Linked DNA regions of Rhinolophus ferrumequinum. The protein of the gene in region 1 interacts with the protein of each later gene in a biochemical or structural test. Links are inferred from orthologs where the notes say so. Each region holds a gene or a part of one and is shown on either strand. Other genes may lie near its edges.

Evidence for each region.
Region 2: the proteins of MATK (region 1) and tyrosine-protein phosphatase non-receptor type substrate 1 form a complex in vitro, tested with the Homo sapiens proteins (3 studies listed by BioGRID, with this or other methods). The link is inferred for Rhinolophus ferrumequinum from reciprocal best matches to the Homo sapiens genes MATK and SIRPA.

Annotation. Positions count from the first base shown.
Region 1 is NC_046301.1:59,687,170-59,697,096, forward strand, and holds the start of MATK (megakaryocyte-associated tyrosine-protein kinase), read left to right. Parts: upstream 1-5,765; 5' UTR 5,766-5,906; intron 5,907-6,008; exon of another isoform or gene 6,009-6,216; intron 6,217-6,267; exon of another isoform or gene 6,268-6,350; intron 6,351-7,465; 5' UTR 7,466-7,517; coding exon 7,518-7,526; intron 7,527-7,877; coding exon 7,878-7,991; intron 7,992-8,087; coding exon 8,088-8,203; intron 8,204-8,283; coding exon 8,284-8,503; intron 8,504-8,885; coding exon 8,886-8,979; intron 8,980-9,927.
Region 2 is NC_046306.1:24,327,567-24,337,767, forward strand, and holds the start of tyrosine-protein phosphatase non-receptor type substrate 1, read left to right. Parts: upstream 1-5,669; 5' UTR 5,670-5,688; intron 5,689-5,710; exon of another isoform or gene 5,711-5,979; intron 5,980-6,089; exon of another isoform or gene 6,090-6,108; intron 6,109-6,119; exon of another isoform or gene 6,120-6,325; intron 6,326-6,329; exon of another isoform or gene 6,330-6,456; intron 6,457-6,689; exon of another isoform or gene 6,690-6,861; intron 6,862-6,902; exon of another isoform or gene 6,903-6,992; 5' UTR 6,993-7,001; coding exon 7,002-7,080; intron 7,081-10,201. UniProt on the Homo sapiens protein: Immunoglobulin-like cell surface receptor for CD47. Acts as docking protein and induces translocation of PTPN6, PTPN11 and other binding partners from the cytosol to the plasma membrane.

The sequences.
Region 1 (9,927 bases):
CGGCCACGCACTGAGGGGACAAGTTAGTTCCATGGAAGAGGCTGGGGGAGAGAGAGTCACAGACACACACCAAGGTGACCACTAACTCCGGGAGAATCACGAAACCAGGCCGAGCAAATAAAAGTGTTCCTTGGTGTACGTCGCTCCACTGAACAATGCTTAACATATAGCAACGTAAGTACCAAGTATTCATTTAACCAAAAATGGTGATCAAACTATTGGGAGAGCAGTATGCCTGAGAGAGCTGAGTCTCTCTCTTCAGGAGCAGGAAATCAATGGGCAGTGATCAAAAGATGTGGAAAACATGATTTTGAAATATGAAAGCCAATACCAGGGAAACAGCCAATAGAAAGAGCAGTGGCAGTCCTTGGGGAGTGGGGCATACATTGCTTTGTTTAAAACCGTTTTTTAAGTTCAGCACAGTCTTCAGCACACAGCAAAACACTACAAAATACCGCTACTATTGATTTTGATAAGAAGAAAACATATAACTTTGAGGGGCTCATTGCTGAGTCGGGGAGCTTTTTATAGTTGGGAGAGCACTTGACAGCTTGCTACATATCATGAATATCGACCCATTTAGATTGAAAAGTGCACCTACAGGTCAAATAGATTTTAAAATGTGCCTATTTTAAGAAATTAAAAGCTGAAAGAGACCAGAGGTCAGAAATCTACAGCCCACTTACCCACCGTCTGTTTTTATGCATCCCACAAGCTAAAAATGTCTCTTCACATTTTTAAGTGGCTGAAAAAATCAAAAGTCTTAATGTGGCATGACATGTGAAAAGTATACGAAGTCCAGATTTCAGTGTCCATAAATAAAGTTTTATTGGAACGCAGCCATGTCCGATGACGTCCATGTCATCTATGGTGGCTTTCGCGCTACAAAAGCAGAGCTGAGTAGTCCAGACAGAGATCATCTGGCCCTTTTCGGAGGAAGTTGACCAACTCTTGAGTTAGAGGATGAGGGTCTGGGGACGGGCTGGGGAGGACCCCTGGAGCAGAGGCTTGGGGACAAGTCTTCTGACAGACACGCTTTGCCTTGTGGTATCTTGTGGATCCCGCTCTCCTTCCTCTGTCTTCACTCTTTATATGATTCTATTCATTTGTTCTGTGAGGGCCTGCTGTGCACTAGGCTCCAGAGACAAGTGATTGCCCAAGCCAGAGCAGTCCCTGCCCTCTCTAACGAGCATCCGTTCTGTCAAGCGAGGCGAGGCAGGAGGGCTATGGATGAGGACAAGTAAGACAGGGTGACAGGCAGTGTTTTGGGCTTGGATGGTGGGTGGTCACTATGGGTGGTCAGGAAGGGTCTCTTGAAGGAGCCAGAAATGATGAGAAGGAGCCATCTTTGAGAGGAGCTGAGGGAAGGACGTCATAAGAGGAGAAAACAGCACATGCAAAGGCCCTGAGGCTGGATCATGCCTGGAGCATTTGAGGAACACGAGAGAGCCACGCCCGGGGAAGTGGAGGGAGCTGAGAGCAGAGAGGTGACAGCAGCCATGGTGGACAAGCCAGTGGTGGGCCACAGTGAGGAGCTTGGCTTGCATCCCCAGCACAGCCAGCGCCATGGGAAGGTTGTAAACTAGGAAGTGACACAGGCCCAGTTTACGCACAGTGAACCTGCAAGCGTGGCAGGGAAATGATATGCCTGGCTCCACCTGCAGTACAAGGAAGAACAGGCGAGGGATGTGGGGGGAGAGCAGACAGCCTCCCCCATTAACGGCAGATCACCCCTGGCACCCCAAAGCAGGTCGCTTGGAGGAGCCCTTGTTCCCCAAGTCAAGAATGATGCAGCCGACCACAGCTCTGGTTGCAAGATGAGCGATGCAGCATTTTTCCTCGAAAGAGCAGAGTGTTCCTCCGCTGAATCCCTGAGTCCCCTGGCAGGGAAGAGAAAGCTAAATTTAAAGGTGTGCTAATTGGGGCAGTCTGATCTGGCCACTGGCTCCTCTGGGGCCATGGTGCCAGCGCAGCCATCCCCACATCTGGCTGCAGCTGCCCTGTCTTGCCTGCCCTCCAGATCCAGAAATTTCAATTATGGGCACATTCTCTGGTGGTCTGTCATGTGCCCACCACTATGCCGTGCACCAGCATGTGGGCCCTGGAGCTGGATGGGCCTGGGTTCAAAGCCCAGCCCACCACTTCCTGTGTCATAGGGTGAGCCTCAGCACTCTCTGAGCCTCAGCTTTGCCATCTGTGAAATGGGTACAATGAGAGTGCTTGCCTCACAGGTGACAGGCACTGCTCATTCCCTCTCCCCTCCCCAATATTCACTGGCTTAAAAAAATACTTTCTGAATACTACTGTGTGCCAGGAACTGACCACAGCTGTGAACGACACTGTCCAAAATCCCTGCCCTGGGGAGTTGATGTTCTAGAAAGGACACAGCCAGTAAACAAGATAAACAAGTAAAACATATGGTCAGTCAGACCATGGTAGCTCCACAGAGCTACAGGAAAGAGAATGTAACATGTCAGAAGGTTGAAATATTCTGTAGGGTTGCTATAATGTTGGTTATGTCTGGGGAAGTGTCCCAGGCAGAAGGCACAGCTAACGCAAAGGCCATGAGGTGGGAGCAAACCTGGAAGCTTTGAGAAAGAGGATGCCAGTGCTCCTGCCTCCCCCTCTTGGCCCTTTTGGGTCCTTTCAGGGCATAGGAGTGAGGTCTTGCTCTGAGGAGGGTATGGATGTCTGAGAAGGTTTCATAAAAATGGTGCCAGTTTTCATGGACATGGAGGATGAGCTGGGGTAAAGACTACATTTCCCAGATTCCTCTGCTCCTGGGGTTTCACTGGAAGAGTCCTTAAATGAAGAAATGTACCCTTTTCTGCCAACTTCCTGCTTCCTATTGACTGGAATGCAATAGGTGAGAGGGCTGGAGCTCAAGCAGCCATCTTAGATCAAGAGAATGAAGTTTGAGTGTGGACAAAGGCAGAGCAACAAGATAGCAGGAGCCTGGGCCCCTGACATACACAGGATTTCCTCCCTCAAAGAGCATTAATTTCTACCTAGTAATTCAAGCCTCTAACACTTGGGGTCTTCCATCCCCCACAGCCAATCCTAATTTTAACTGATGCATTATGTAAAGTGCCTGTCACATGACTTCTTTTGTTTATTGCCTATAATGATTTTCGTCCATATTTGTAAAGAATAAGAAATATATCCTGCCTTTGAAAAGTCTACAACTCCATTGGGTGTGTCTGCAGGCCTGACTTCTAGCCCCAGTGTTACCATGGGCAAGTAGCCTTGCCTCTCTGGGTCTCAGCTGCTCCAATTCTAAAATGAGAGGATGGGTCCCCAAAATCTCCAGGAGTTTGAAGAACAGAGGGTTATGCAAATCACAACAGTCAAAATAGAACAGTGAGATGCGAAGAACAGTGAGATTCGGATGAACAAAAGAAAGGCATTCAGGCAGGGGACAAGGTGGGTTCATCAGGGTTTCTCTGTTGCAAGTGACAGAAGACAGCACCACCTGATCCAGGGCATGAAAGGGAAGAGATTCCTCTTCTTAGCTGGGTTTAGGGCAACCTAATCTGACTCACCAATTCCACATCATAGAGATTTAATTTCAGCACCCCACTCTGGTCCCATTTTCAGTATTAGGAATTCTTTTGGTTACAAGTGGCAGTAACCTCCTGAAAGCAACCAAAAAGCAAAGAACTGCTTCCAATGCTAGGCATAGCGTGACCTCCAGACATGGCTGAATCCAACGATTTGAATTCTTCCTGTGGTATTCAGTCTGTTTCCTGGCTCTGCTTCCTCTGGGCTGGCTTTTTCTCAGGCAGGCTAATGGTCTCAGTTCCCAAGGCCAGATCCGTGCCCATCGGTGAAATGAGATGGCTAGTGTCTCTAGCTAGGGGTCCTTTCAGGACATAGAAGTTAGACTTGCTCTGAGAAGGGTAAAGGTGTCTGAAGAAGGCTTCATAAAAATGATGTCGGTTCAGCTGGGCGTGAAGGATGAGCTGGAGATGCCATCTGGATGGGAGAAGCACATTCCGGCAGAGGGGACAGCCCATGCGAAACCATGCTAACTCCTGCAGTTCAGAGTTGCCAAACTATTGGGTGCTTGGTGGGAGCAGAAGCAACTGAGGCCAGGGAGGCCAGGGAGGGGCCAGATATGAAGAGCCCTGAATGCCAGACTGAGTGTTTTAGGCTCTGTCCTGCAGGCAGTGGGAGCTATAGCAGGATTTAGAGCAGGAGAGGGCCACAGTCACATTTTCATCCCTTGATGATGCAGTGGAAGATGAATGGTAACAAGGAGAAAAACTGGAGGCAGTTGGGAGACCAGAAAGGGGGCTGCTCTATCACCAGCCTGCACCAGATGGGTGTCCAGGGGTTGGGGGTGGGTGGGTCAAAGAATTTCCAGACTCAAGTTGACAGGACTGAAATGTGGAGGGTGAAGAGCCCAGGACTGGGGAATTCTGGTATCCGACCCGATGGTGTGGCTACCAACTGGCTTCAGGCAGGTAGAAGGGAGAGGCACGTCCTTCAGCTCCTAGCAGGAGGCAGGAAAACGGGTGTTGCATCACTGGGGACTGGAAGACCCATTGAGTCTTTGTGATTCAAAGTGCCAATTATTGGATGCCTCTAGGATTGGGGAGCTCACCCCTTCTGTAGCTCTGACCCAAATTAACCATGGACTCAAATCTATCCCCCTAAAGTCATGCACAGCTCAATGCCCCATGCCCACACCCATGGGGGGCGGGCTCCCTGTTCCCCAGGCCAACCCTTGGAGATTCGGGCACCTAACACCTTCTCCTTAAATCTGTCAGTCCTCAGTCTCAACACCTTTGCTTCCTCTGATCACTCAGAGGTAGGGCCTTCCAGAATGTGGGACATGGACCCCTGGGCATCCTGGGGAGGATGTAGGTGTTACTCAGACCCTAAGTACCTATTCGCAGAGGGAGAAAGCCAGCCCCTTCTGACCCTCTTCCCTTCTCTCTGACTACGTCAAGGAGAACATCTCCACGGGGTGCTAGGGCATCTCAACCTCTTAGACATGGGCTCCTGTCCTTGCTGAACAAAGAAGGCAGGTCTCCACTGTGGGGCCTGGGGCCATAGCAGTCCCTGCTGAGCATTTAATGGTGCTGTCTGTGGGTTTCCTCTGTGGCTATTTTCACTCTGGGTTTCTATTTCTGGAAAGTGATGATGGCTTGCTATATATGGTAGGCCCCCATCACCCTGACTGAATGCTGGCTGCAGGGTCCCAACCCTAGGACCAGAGCAGTGCCCAGTGGCTGGGAAGCAGGGCTCTCTGGGCATCTTGACTCAGAGCCCTCCAAGGTCAGCTCCACCCTTGTCCGAGCAGACTCTGCCGTTAGAAGCAATGGAGTCATGGCTGGAGGCCAGGCCCAGTGCGTGGCCATTCAGTGCTCATCCAGCTGTCCTCTGAGGGGACGCCCGTGTTGCCCAGCCCTTCAGAGGAGGAAAGGGAGGTCAAGAGTGGGGCAGTACTGCCTCTGGCACAGCTGGGTTGGCTCCCGCCTCAGGACCCACCATTATTCTCCAAAGGAGGGTTGCTCCGCCAGGAGGCTTCCAGTTCCACACGATTTTTTCCCTTGTGGCCCCAATTTTCCTTTAACGATAATGATGACGATACTGGCAGCGGTTGACATTTTGGGGGAGTTTTCTTTGTGCCAGGCATCAACAGCTCTCTACAGCAACAGGTAATTAAATGAGGTCCCGTTGGCAGAGGAGGTGACAGGGCGTTGGAAAGGCAGAGTCCGAAGGGCCCATTTTGTCGTCTGGGCTCTGCCGCCTGCTTATCTCCCCGACCGGCAGCTCATTCACTCCACTCCGCGCGCGCGCGCGGTGTGCCACCTGCTCCACACTCCAAGGCCTCCGCTTGTCCGGATGAGCTGGGGTGCGCGCCCCTCAGCACCAGGCCAGGGAGAGGCGTGGAGCCGGTGAGAGTCTCCAGCGCCCCCCGCGCCGCGCGGGAGGTGCCGGGGACCGCGGAGGCAGGGCGGGGAGGGGCCCGCGGCGGCGCGCAGAGCAGACCGCAGTGCGGCCGGCGCTAGGACCCGCGGGATCCTCCCTGGCCGCGGCACCTCCCGCTCCCCGGCCACCCTACCTCTCCTCCACCCCCAAAATGAGGAAACGGAGGAACTTGCACCAAGTTGTGCAGCGGGGCCCGCCTTGGGGGTGCGCAGCTGGCACGCGGGGGCCCTCCTGGGGGCGGGGGCGGGGCGCGGCCCGGGGACGCCCCCTGAGCAGGTGAGCGCGGTGACGGGATTGGGGGTAGAGACCGCAGGGGCAGTGGAAGCGAACCAGAGGGCTCCATGGGGACCCGGGCGTTCGCGGGAGGGGCCGGTGTGCGCTCGAGTGTGCACGTCCGGGGCGCGCGACGGGTACGCTGCTGAGGTGGGGGTGGTTACAGGCAATCAAGCGCGGGGTGGGGAGTAGTCTGGGTGGGGGTGTGCGCGTCTGCGAGCCCCCAGGTGTGTGTATCAGCGCGTCCACGTGGAGGCATGTGCGCGTGTGGCGGAGATGCGTGTGCGCGGCCCTGTGTGTAGCTCTGCGTGCCTGGGTGGCCCAGCGTTTGGTGCCCAGGTGTTCAAGTATGGGTCTGTGTGTGTTAGTGGGTGGGCAGATGCACACGTTTCCAGATGTCCCAGCACCTGCGCATGTGTACACACATGTAGAGGCGTGTGCACACCTGTCTCTAGGGGGGCATGCCTTTGCTTACACACCTGGGTGCCTGTGGGTACCTGTGTCCACCTGTGTCCAAGCCCTGTGTGTTTCTGTATGTGCTTGTGTGTACATGGATCAGTATAGGTGTGAGTACACGTAGGGCTGAAGATTTATGGGGGTGCACATTGGAGGAACCAAGATTCACCCCGCAACTTGCCCCACTGTCCAGCCACTTGCGGTAGGGTAGATGGGGGTGGCAAGGGGTGGAAAAGTCCCCAACCAAGCAGCAATGAAGGAGTGTGTGTGTCAGTCCTGGGTTGGGGTGGGGGAGTCAGAGAGGTTTGGCTGGTGGCCAGAGGAGCCCAGCAGGGCTCCACAGCCTCCGCCCCACCTCTGGGTCAGAGTTCCTTGGGAATGACCTTGAATCATTCTGTATTTGTCTGCCCTGTTCCTGCCCACTCACCAGAAAAGAGGAAGAACCAGGGTCGATTAGGTGGCACCAAGCTCCCCATGTGCTGTGTGGGCTGCTGGGGCCTGAGCTAGGTACCTGTCCCCTCCCCAGCCTGTGGCCACTAGCTCTGTGCCCACCTTATGCCTCAGTTTCCCTTTGGGAACCATGGTGGGGCGAGGCTCCACGGTTTCCTTGCTGGTGTTTCATGGCTGTGACTCTGCTAAGGAACTCCCCTGGGTAAAGGCCACCTTCCCAAATGGCCTTCGGGAAGCTATACCTGAGCCCCTCTGCCCCTGGCTGTCCCTCCGACCCGGCTTGGGCTGGAATTGGTAGTGATGGGGTGAATCTGGGCTCTCCAGCTGGTCTCTGCCTCCTCCCCAGGTGAGCCCTCGCTTCCTCTGTGCCTGGCACTCCTCCACCCATCTTAGCCAGGATGCCCACGGTGAGTACCTCGACCTGGGTGCCTGTGGCCTCGGCCCTTCCTCAGCTCAGTCCACGCCCACAGGACCTCAGCTCCACAGGGAGGAGGACTGTACTCTGACCCTTGTCCCTGTAGCTGCTGTCTCCCAGGCTTTCTGTTATTTGGTGTTGCATTTCTTTCACCTTTTCTTCCTGACCTGTACTGAGCACCTGGTGTTTGAGACTCTAATAAATCTCTGTTGGCAGCTCCCTTGTCCTTTCTCCTCCTCTCGCTCTTTCTTTCTGTTTTTTGTTCTGTCTCGGTCCAATCTTTCTCTCTCCGGGGCATCTCCCTCATGTCCCCTTTGCCCCTCTCCCTCACCCCCTCACCCAGAGGCGCTGGGCCCCAGGTACCCAATGCATCACCAAGTGTGAGCACATGCGCCCCAAGCCTGGAGAGCTGGCCTTTCGCAAGGGTGACGTGGTCACCATCCTGGAGGCTTGTGAGGTGAGCAGTAGCCAGAGGGCCTGGGTGTGTTTGGGGACAGGACCCCCACACACACACAAACACACACATACGGACCCCTGGCTCCCTCCCTGGCAGAGCAAGAGCTGGTACCGCGCCAAGCACCACAGCAGCGGGCAGGAGGGGCTGCTGGCAGCCGGCGCACTCCGGGAGCGTGAGGCCCTCTCCACTGACCCCAAGCTCAGCCTCATGCCGTGAGTTGTGGGGCGTCCTGGAATGGGGGGGCCAGGAGGGCCTGGCCAGCCCAGTCCAGCCTGCCCTTCTGCCCCCACAGGTGGTTCCATGGGAAGATCTCAGGCCAGGAGGCGGTGCAGCTGCTGCAGCCGCCTGAGGATGGACTGTTTCTGGTGCGCGAGTCAGTGCGACATCCAGGTGACTACGTGCTGTGCGTGAGCTTCGGCCGAGATGTCATCCACTATCGCGTGCTGCACCGCGATGGCCACCTGACCATTGACGAGGCCGTCTGCTTCTGCAACCTCATGGATATGGTGGAGGTGCGCCCCAGAACCCAGAGACGCATGCTCCCCAGTGCAGAGAAGCAGCTGGTCCCCATGGACCACCAACTCTCTAGGGGGTCTGAGTCCTCTAGGTCCCACCTCCAAGGACTGGGGTGGCTCCTTCAGGGACCTTCAGGAACCTCCAAGTTGACACCAATCCAGAGACCTCCCCATCTTCCCTGTTTCCCCCCTAGCCTCCATACTTTCTTGTTTCCATGCAAACCAGCCCAACACATCCTGTGAGACCCAAACCCCTCTCCTTCTCATCAGCTCCTGCCCACCCCATCCAGACCACCCCCCAGGAAGGGGACAGGATGCAGGGGTTCCCCACACCCCAGGGTTGGACTCACGACCACCTCTGCCCCGTCCTGCCCTGCAGCATTACAGCAAGGACAAGGGGGCCATCTGCACAAAACTCGTGAAACCCAAGAGGAAGCCGGGGGCCAAATCTGCGGAGGAGGAGCTAGCCAAGGGTAGGGGTCTGCGCCCTCTCCACCCACATTCTCCCCCCTGGGAGGTCAGGGCCCTGGGGCCCGGCATGGGGCTAATGCCACAGCATTTGAGTATGGCGCCGTGCCTGGCACTACAGGTGGAAGGCCTGGGCTCTCCCGGGGTTGGGCAAAGGGCACTCACAGACACTGATCATCTCAAGATTGAGCAGGTTCCCACATCTGCTACTTCCTACACCTGGGTCCTTATCACGCCCTGTCACCTGAGCTGGAAACCTGGCCCAAAACCTCAACCCACCCACCCGCCCACATCCCCTTCATGGTCAGGTTCTAACATCACTTAACACCCTACCTGACCTCACACCTTTCCATCAGACCACATTCTTCCGGGGGGCAGTCCCCCTTCCTCCCGACCTTAGACCCTTAAGTGTGTGCCCCCAGAGGCAGCTTTCTACCATGATAGCCCACCCACATTGCTCCCCTGCTTAAAGGAGGGAGGCCCTGCAGCTTTTCCGCCTTCTAGAACGTTCTCTTGTGACTGAGCCTTCTTTCCTGCCTCACCTACAGGACCCTTCTTCCATTCACAAGACCCCCCTCCCCCGTGACTCATTTCCTTTCATGCCTCCCTGCTGTTGTGCTTTCTGTTACCTTTACCAGAAATGCTTTTTCAGCTTCTGTGTAGTGAAATCATCAATATTCAAGGCCCAAAGCAAATGCCCCCAACCACAGCCACCCCTACGGTCTTTGGAACCTGACACCCGTGGCTGTCTCCTTGAAAGCACGAGTATCTCCTGGGGAGATCTGGCCGTCTTGGGGATGGCACGGGGTGGAGGCGGTGTCACCATTCCATTCCTGATGTACCTAAGGAGCTCCTGGTTTGCGGGGGGGTGGGGGGTGGGGGAGGCCTATAGAACCTGCTGGGGGGGAGGCGGGGAGGACACTGGCCTGCTGTGACAAGGGTCAGGGAGGCGA
Region 2 (10,201 bases), on another chromosome or scaffold:
TTCACCCGATCCTCCCGTGCCTACAGTGCATCAGCAAGTGGGTGCTGAGCCTCAGCGGGGCCTGGAAATCATCAAGCCAGCCCCTGGGCGGTGAGGGAGACTCAGAAAAGGCACTGCGGGGCCACCCAGACTCATACACAGCAAAGCAAAAGTCAGAATGTGCAGAGGTTGGGAGCAGAGACTGAGTAATGAAAAAGCCTGGATTCAAAGCCAAACTCTGCAGCTCGCAGGCTGTGTGCTCTTGCACAAGCCCCTTAACCTCTCTGTGCTTCAGTTTTCTCATCTGAGAAATAGGAATAAGAATTATGTCCGCATAAAAGAGGGACTATTGTCACCCCAATAAATAAAAAAAAAAAAAAAGAGGGACTAAGAAGCATGAGCGCATCTGCTGAAATCCTTCTGGCTTGGGCTTAATAAGCGCTCCTACATTTTTGCTATTATTAGCATTAGTATCAGGCAGAGACAGCACTTGAACTCAGGTCTCTCAGTGTACGCTGAGGCAGTCAGCCGTCTGTCCTGACGACAGCAGTACCCTGCAGGGACCCCACACCCAGGGCTGTGTGGGGAGCAGCAGCTCTGCACAGCTGGGCTCAGTTTCTGGCAGAGCCAGATCCCCAGAGCCTGAGAACAGTGTTTAGGGCCTGACAGCGCAGTCCCACCCCTGACAGGCTCGAAGAGATGCTTGTTTGCCTGCTGAGTCACTGAGTCGCTAACTTCCCCAGGAAAGCACTAATTACAGCATGGCTCCCCCCCAGCCCTGGCTCTGTGATCTGTCACTGCCTCTCAGCTTCGGGGCACTGGCTGCTGTTTCTGAGCCAGTGCTGTCACCCACTTTGCTTCCCCTGGTGAGGTGAGGACAGAAAACAGAGGGATCCACAGATCAACCAATGATCTGGGGCTGGGCTCATGAACCACAGTCTGTTCAGCGGTTCTCAAAGTGTGGTCTCCGGACCAGCAACATCGGCAGCACCTGGGAGCCTGTTAGAAGCACTGATTTTCAGACCTTGCCGGAGACCTGCTGAATCAGCAATTCTGGGGGCGGGGGCCCGGAAATCCCTGTTTAACAATCCCTCCAAGTGACGCTCATGCCTGCTCAATTGGGGAACCACAGCTTCGAGTCCTGTGCGGCTATGGTGGAAGGGGTCGTGCTGTGAAGAGGTGATTATAACATGGGGTGCATCGAAGCCCAGGCTCAGAGAGATGTGTCTTCAAATCCAGGCTCTGCCAGTGTCTTGTGTGATTTTGGGCAGGTCATTTTTTACATTGAATACCTATTTATTGACAACCTTCTGTTTACTGCTGAAAGCCCTAGGCTTCAGTGGTGGAAGAAAACAGTGGTGATACCCAACATCTTTACTTATATTCACTCATTTAACCCCTACAAGAAACCTTTAGGTACCGTTCTATCATTACCTGAATCGGGTGGGTGATGCACAGATGGTCAAAGTAACGTGCTTTAGGGCTAGTCCGAGGCAGTGCTGGGGTTTGAGCCATAGGTGCGCTTCCAGAGTTAGGCACTGAGCCATTGGGCTGGCCTGATTTGTGGCTAGTTAAGGAAAACAGACAAAATGCAATAAAGACACATAACACTGGCAGGTGGTGATGCGTGCTTTGAAGTAAAATAATGTAGGCAAAGGGATGGAGTCCATTGGGGTGGGTTGGAGTGGGGGTGACTATTTTAACAAGGAGGTCTGGCAAGGCCTCTCTGAGGAGGTGACCTGTGAGCAGAGACTTCTCTAAGGCAGCGTTCTTGTCTGTAAAGCGAATTAATGGCACCCCCTCCCAGGTACGGTGTGAACATGTCACGAGAACATGCCTGTGAAAGTATAGTAGATGTTCAACAAATAGGAACTGTTGTTATTTGAAGAACAAAGTTCAAATCCTAATTGGCTCGGCCCCTCACTAGCTGAGTGTCCACGGCAAGTGACTCCATCCTTCTGAACTTCGGTTTCTGCAGCTATAAAATGGCTGCCAGGAGCCTTGGCGATAACCCACATACAGATCAGAGAACAGCGCCGGGGTGCGGTAAGGGCACTCCCTCCTCCTGTCCCCACCCCACTTTCTCTCTAGCCTGTCAGCAGCTCCTCTCTGGGGCTGTTGGTTCCCTGGTCCAGGCCGCCCAGGAGACCTTGCTGTTTTTATTTTTATTGTTCTGGCTCCAAAGCTGAGGCCTCTCACTCCAAATGGTTCCTCTTGCCCAGAAAAATAGGTCGTTGGCAGCTCCAGCCTCCTGACAGGCCCTACACAAAGGCGGCCTGGCGGGCCTGCCTGCTGACGCCAGTCCAGGGTTACGGGAAGTGAGGAGCTGAGCCCAGGCAGGGCTGGTGCCAGGCAGAGCTGGGTCCCTGCAGGTTCCAGCATGCCCTGGCAAAGTGACCCTGGTCGAGTTGCATTCTGCCTCTGGTCTTGTTTCCCCACCTTTGACAACACAGTGAAGTTGCTGAGGCTTCAGTGAGACAATGCATATGGAGGGGCCTGGCACACACAGAGGAACCATCACCCCACCTGCAGAGGCAAACTCCAGATATGCTCCCGCCATGGTTGCTTTCACACCTGTGCCACTACTATCTCTGGGATCAGGGTAGACCTGGTTATTCCCATTTCACAGATGAAGAGACTGAGGCTCATTAAAAAAAAAATTTTCCCTAGTCACAGAAGTTAAATTGGCAGCATCTTGGCTTCGAAACCCCTGACCCTCCCCTCCTTGAGCTCATTCTAGTCTTCTTCCCAGCAGGTCTTGGGCAACAGGAAGGGATATGATCTGACTTCTATCAAAGGATCCCTTCTGGTTGCTGAGTGGAGAATAGATGGAGGAAGAGGGGGGAAACGTAGAAAGAAGGTGCCCAGGTGGGAGATGGTGGAGGCTTAGACTAGGGCGGTAGCGGCAGCAGAGACGCTGATAAGTGATTTGGTTCTAGACGTGAAGACAAGGTCCAGCCAGTGGGATGTGCAGCTGACAGATTGCACACGGGGAGTGACAGAAGAGTTGGGAGCCACGCAGGATGGAGCCGCCTCTGGCTTTCCATCTCAAATCTTTCAGGTCTTCACTCAAACATCACCTCCTCTGAGGCCTTCCCTGACCCTCTCCCCTCTCATAGGCCCTCCTGGTCCCCTTGCCTGCTTTATTTCCTCATATAGCTTTATCCATGTCTGACAGACTAAATATTTTATGTACTGGTTTGTTTATTCGCTCCCACTAGAATGTCAGCTCCTTGGGGCAGGGGGTTTTGTCTGTTTTCTCTCACCTGCTTCATCCTCAGTGCTTAGCTCAATGCCGGGAACATAGTAGGAGTGTAATAAATACTGTTAAGTGCATGAATGAATGGTATATGTATGAAGGCAATTCAGTTTTAATCCAGGGCAGCCCAGGATGCCTCCTATGGAGGTGGCTGATTCTCTTCAATTATCTGCCATAATCTCGCTGTGTGACCTCAGACAAATTGTCCTCCAACCTCAGTATACCCAGCTGCCGAATGGTCTCGGTGACCTCCCAGGCATGATGGTCAGCCAAGGGTGATTTTTCTGTGGACTGAATCAGGAGAACAAGGCCCAGGCCTCCTTCTGGGGTGGAGGTGAGGATGAAAGGGCCCTGGTGTTAAGAAGCCCTGCTGGGTGCCTGTGCCCAAGTGCTACATATAAACAGCAGGTGGTTCAATAATAATCCTTCCCTAATCCTCAGTTTCCTAATCCCAGGCAGGTCTCCGTGTGTGTGTGTGTGTGTGTGTGTGTGTGTGTGTGTGTGTGTATCCTGGGAAATAGTGAATGGATGGCAGAAACTTCTGGAAGCCCAGGCCAGGTGCCTGCCTCATCGCTGACCTTCACCAGCTGCCCTTGCTCCCACTCCCACCCCAGGTGGATTCCAATGATGGATTTTCTCAGGACTCTCAGCTGGTCACCTTCATGGTCTTGGCCAGACGTGGCCTAAAGAGTTAGAGGTTCCCTACATCCCACTTCAAATACTAGGAGGACCCCAGAACAACCTCCTCACTGTGCTGATTTTACGCTCCCCTTCCTGCAGCCCACTCTCCACTAGCAGTCAGAGTGGCCTTTTAAACGCATGAATCAGACCATGGGGCTCCCCTGCTTAAACCCTTCAATGATTTCCTCCCTGCAGAATAAATGCAGGCACTTTACCAAGGCCTGCAAGGCCACCCAGCTGAATCCCTCTCCCCCATCCATCGCACATTCCCTCCAGCCACACTTGCCCCAGGGCCTTTATATGTGCTGTTCCCTCTTCCCCAAATCCTCACCTTGCTGCCCCTTCTTACGATTCAGCTCCCAGCTTCTCAGGGAAGACTTACCCTTATCTAAATGAGGGTGCCCTTCTCACTCTCTGAGCTCAATCTTCTGTTGTTCATTAATTATTTCTACTTGTCGACTTATCTGTCTTCCCACTAGAATGTAAATGTCTCATGGACAGGGACCTTGTATGATTCCCTGCTGTATCTCCCACACCTAAAGAAAAAAAATTTTCCCTTGTACTTCAAATACTGTCCAGAATCCTGTGGGCTCCCTAAGGACTGTTGTCAAACACTATACTTATTTATCAAATATTATGTAGCACTTAGGACATGCTAGGCACTCTTTAAAGTGTACAAATATTAATTCATCCAATCCTCACAGCAACTTTTTCAGGTTGATACTCATGTTAGCCTAAGTTCAGATGAGGAAACTGAGGCACAGACAGGATAAGCCATTTTCCCAAGTCTACACAGCTCATAAGAGGTAGCTGGCCGGATTTGAATCCAAGGAGTCTGGCCCATGCGCTCAGCAGTTGCGCCCTTCCTACCTCCCTGTCTTAATACACCAGGACTAGGCATCTGACAGGCAGGCTGGGGTGGGAGTGGGGGTGTCACTTTGCAAAAGTCTTCATTTTATTTAGCCTGGGAATCAGAAATTCAAACCTCGTTTCTACCCCAGGCCTTGCTCTGTGTCCTTAGACAAGTCCACTTCCTCTCTGGGCCTCAACTCCCTTTTGTTGCTTCATTCCTATGCTCTTAACAGACTCGCGAAGCAAAATTGGTTGTTGTGTATTTCCAAGTCCCAAACCCTCCAATTAGCAGAGGGTCTTGGACTCCTTTCCCTCCCACAGTCTGGAGTTACCTTTGGCCGGGTAACCAGCACTCCCACTGCCTATCACTGACTTGGGATGGTAGGTAGGTAGGTAGGTAGGTAGAATGTTGGATGGATGGATGGATAGATAGATGATAGATAGATAGATAGATAGATAGATAGATATAGATAGAGGCTCTGTCCTCTCCGAATACTCCAGGCCTCTTGCCTCTGTTCCCCTCCTTTCCTCTCACCTTCTTCATTATCTGTCATTTTCCCAGAACCCAGGCCTTCAAATCCTCTCTCTCCTCCACCCCCCAAATCTGCCACCCCTGAAAGAGGCACCTGACAGAGAGAGCCCACCTCCCTAGGGAGGCCCGACCCTTCCCCTGTAGTTTCCCGGGCCACAGCCCCTCTTCTTTCTCATTCTCCTCGCTGCGCCTCTTTTCCAGGCGGCACCGAAGTCCTTCCTACACACACGCTATTTTTGTATGATCACTCTCTCCTTCCTCTCCCCCTTCCCCCTACATTCACTTACTTCCTGCTTTTCCGTCACCTCGGCCCAGCTCTGAAAGAATCGGGGCCTCTTTGGCCCAAGCCCACCTCCAAGAGCGGCCTTCAGCTTTGGGGCACAGGGTCAGGGCCACTTGGGGAGGGGAAAAGGCAGACACCCCCATCCCCCCTCTACTCCCCCACTCCTTCGCGGCTTCCAGCCTCTCGCTAAAGGGAAGCAGGGACTGACCGCGACGGAGTCCGGAGGCAGGGGAGGCCGGGCGCAACTTCCCCAGTCCACCTTAAGAGGACGATGTAGCCAGCTCGCGGCGCTGACCTTAGACAAACAAGTTTGCGCAAAGTGGAGCGGGGGGCCCGGCCCTGGGCAGCCCCAGCGGCGCTTCCACAGCCTTCCAGCCCTCGCTGGCGGCGCAGGTCCGAGCCGGGCAGGCAGTGGGAGGGGGACGGGGAAGGGAGCGGCTGGGGACTGGTGACAGCCGCTCGGGCTTCTGAACTGGCACATTGTTGGAGGCGGAGGCTGGTCCAGTCCCCAGCCCGAGCGCGGTGGGCCGGCGGCGGGGGCGGGCGGGCCGCCTCCCGGGGCTGCAGCCGTGGGCCCGGGAGGGGGTTGGGTGCCCGGGCGGCGGCACGGGCGAGGGGCAACGCTGGCCTCCTGACCCGGCGCTCGACACCAGCCCTCGCTCCCTCCCTCCCCGGGGCGCGCTGCTGTAGGGCGCTCTCCAAGAGGGTGCCGGCGCAGCCAGAGACCTGCAGCCCCCCCGTGAGAGCAGGAGCGAGGAGAGGAACCGGGAGGCGGGAGGGGGCCGCGGCCGGGCGGGTGGGGGCCGCGGCTCGGACTGTGGCCAGGAGAGAGGCGAGTCGCCGACGCCGCTAGGAGCCCGGGCAGGGCAGGTGGGCAGCGGTGGGGGCGGCTAGCGGGGCTGCCGTCCGCCCTGGCTCGGGGTCCTCCTCTCTCCCGCGCTGTCTGTCTCGATCTGCGCGCCGCCTCTCTCTCTCTCTCTCTCTCTCTCTCTCTCTCTCTCTCTCTCTCTCTCTCTCTCTCTCTCTCTCTCTCTCTCTCTCTCCCCCCCCCTTTCTCCCCCTCTCTCGCCTTTCTGTGCCTCTGGCTCTCTCCCTGGCTCCCCTGGCTCTATTTCCCTCTCCTGCCGCCCCTCTCCGGCCGCCCGGGCTTTCTTTCTGGCGCGCTTGGGGTCTGTCCCCTTCTCTCTCTCTCGATCTTTTCGGGGGGTGGGGGGACGTTCTCCGAAAATCGCCGCCGTGACGGCAGCTCCTAAGCCGCTCCGGGCGCTCATTCCGGTGAGGGGGGGAAGCCCGGCCAGTAGGAGAGAGAGGGGAGGAGGAAGGGGGGGAGCCTTAGTCATTTCCCCGCTCCAGCCCGCGCCCGCCCGAGCGCGCACTCACGGCCGCTCTCCCTCCTCGCTCCTCAGCCGCGGCCCATGGAGCCCGCCGGCCTGGCCCCCGGCCGCCTCAGGCCGCTGTTCTGCCTGCTGATCGCCGTGTCCTGCTTCAGTACAGGTAAGCGCCCTCCCACCCTGCTGCTGTCCCCTAAACTGCGGAATCAGGCCCCTCAGCCTGCCACCGGGAGCCACTCGGCAATGTTAGCAGTAATAGGGGTAGAGATGCCTGCAACCAGGGTTACAGGAGCGGAAACCGAGGCCCAGAGAGGGCCAGCGACTTGTCCAAGGTCACACAGCCAAGGGTAGAACCCAGTCTCTCCCGACTCTGACTGTGTGGCACTGAGCTGGGCACTGGGACAGACATACCCAGATGAGTTGCTTCACCCAGCCCCTGCCCAATCTGGAGGGGGAGGCAGGCTGTCAGCATCTTTCAGAGCAAGGCACCCCTGGCTTCCCTAGAAGCTCTCTCCCTGGACTGATGCTTTCCACTTGTTTGACTTCAGGGTCTGAAAGAAGGGGGTGGGGGCAGAGGTCTTCCAGGTACTGCCTGGGATGGAACAGAAGCAGACTTGCAATAAGGGAAGCAGGAGCATTCCCTCTGGTACGCAGAGTAAAACAGTGTGAGTGTGTGTATCGGGAGAGAGAAGGGAGGCCACAGGTAACCCTGGGGTAAGCTGCTGTGGTCAACAGATCCTGATATGAAAACACTGAATTTTCCCCGGAGTTGCCAGAGCCTCTCACTGGATGGCCGTGCTCCTTGCTCCTCTCCTGCCCCACCACACCACTTCCTCCTGCCTTCCCCAGGCTGCCAGGCAGCTCCCTGCTGTTCAGGGGCTCTGTGGGGCTATTACCTGTGGCTCTGAGCATGTCTTTTTGTTGGCCTACATCAAACACCTGTCTCTCTCCAGCAGGCAGGCACTGAAAGCTAGCATGTGTTCACCAAGGGGTGAGGTCATCATTCAGGAGTCCTGCTTCTTAAAGGGGTTTTGCAAAACCATGGGTCTCCTGGGAGGGCACGGAGGAGGCTGAGAACTGGCGTTGAAGGAGTGGGGGGGGGGGGCGGTGGGAGAGAGAAATGGGGATCTTGTTTTTTGGTTTATTGAAGCTGTGTTGTCGTTGGCAGAGGGGTCTCTGCGCCTGCCTCTCTTGAGGAAGGAGGCAAAAATAAGCTCAGTGTCTCTCCCCCCACCCTTCCATTTGCCTAGAGACTGGTAACCATCTGAAAGCAGTGAGAAAGGGAGAACTAGCAGAGTGGGTGGAGGGAGAAGTAGGGCTAAACAGCTGCTTTTCTCTGCTCTACAGTTTCCCCTGAACCCGGGGATGCACGTAGGCATCCCCCCACTCCATCCCCGGGTCCTTCAGTTATAGTCAGGTCCTTGCTGGGCAGAAGGAAGCACGGTTATATTTCATATCTCTCTGGTGAGTGGCATCTCCTATCTGCTCCTTCCTGTCTGAGCTGGCCATGTACACCGTGCACAGTCCCAATTCCTGCCTTAGCATTCATTCTTCCAGGCCTGGAAATTCGTGAGTGTCTCTCACAGGTGCTTACTTTTCCTAAAGCAGGGAACTGGGCCCAAGCTAATTTCTAAATATCTGTTCCAGACCCTTCTCCAACCAGGACCCTGTGGTTCAGTTTCTGGCAAATGAGCGGTGACACTGGTTAACAAGTGTTCAGATGGACAGCCTGCCTTTCCCGGGGCGCTGGCTGGGAATACCACCACCCTTCTTGTGAGCAAATCTCCCCCTTTTGTCTATAAAAACAATCTATAAAATGGTAAAGATTAGGCCATAAAACTTCCGTTCCAATCCATTCAGCATCAATAGCCTGAAAAAGTGGGAGCAGCAGAGGGGCCAAGATTAACTTTGAAATAAATAAATCTTAGGAGGTGAGAACAAATTTCTTGGCTGAGTGTGGTGGGGAAGGGATAGGGTGTCGCCACATAGCTGAAGCCTCCCAGCATCCTTCACTTCTACGGGGTCCTGGTCATGCTCTGGGCTCTGGCCTGGAATTCACCAGGTTTGGCTAACGGATGGGGCTTCAGGCCCCTTCCTCAGTTGCTCTAAGTGTGGAAATTATGACAAAGCAGAACAGGCAGGACAGAGGGTAGGAAGGTAGAAGGAGGCAGTTGTCCAATTTTCTAAGAAAATGGATTTGTTTGAGTGAGAAACTCAAATGTCAGGCTTAGGAAGGCGGCTCTGGATTGAATGACTAGTACTGTCTCAGCCAGAACTGTCAGCTTGGGAGGTGTCACATGACTGCTGTGGCTTCACATGGTCACTCTTTAGAGGGGGCTGGTCATGGGAATTATCTTGGTTGGGGGAGGCAGGGGGAAAAGTTTCTAAAGATTGCTTTTAGTACAAATGCCGCCAAAGGGAAATTCTAAAACGATGCCAGTGAAGTCACCAACCTGTGTCTTGGAGTCAATGTGAGGTCTGTTTCTTAAAACAGCTTCACTGAGGGAGATTCTGAGACTGGGAGAAGGGAGGGGACCAGGGCTTGGGGACACCTGGGCAGCCTGATTCTGCACGAGCAGTAGCACCTGACGTTGAACCTGCTGGCTCCTGGCTTAGCCCCACCTACGTCTTGGGATGTAGGAGTCATCGAATGGGCCGAACCTAGATGAGCTCCCGTTCACTCCTTGCCCTAGCTTGGAGAAGGCCAGGCCAAGCTGGAGTTCAGGCTTTGGGGGACAGCTGGGCCCTCTGATGAACCTTCTGACTCTTTGGTAGAGGGTAGCAAGCTGGTGGCTCCCCTGTACTTTCCTAAGTGGTAAAGTTAATCTCACTTCCTCTTTCACAAAAAGAGAAGGGCGTGGGGGGGCTTTGGCTGTGATAAACTCAGGCTATTGGACGGTCCTTCAAGCCATGTGTTCTCTGGGTACTTTCTGGCCATTAATGATTCCTTTACCAGCCCCGTGGAGACTCAGGGTGTGATTCACTCCTCAACTTGCAGTCACTTGGCACGTATGAAGTCCTGATGTGAACCATGTGTTAAGAGAAGCGAGGAGCCCCAGTGTTCTTTGACTGTTAACTGTATTCCTGGCTGTGTGCTGACTGCCTAGCTGTGGAATCTTACCCATCAGCAAAGCACATCTTGAGTTGGCTATTATCCTCATTTTGCAGATGAGGAAAATAGAGTCCAAAACTGGAGAAGTAACTTGTCCAAGGAGTAAGTGGTCGGGAGCCTGGATTTTGAATCCCAGCCTCCTAGCTGGGTAGCCTCTGAGAGAAGACGTTCA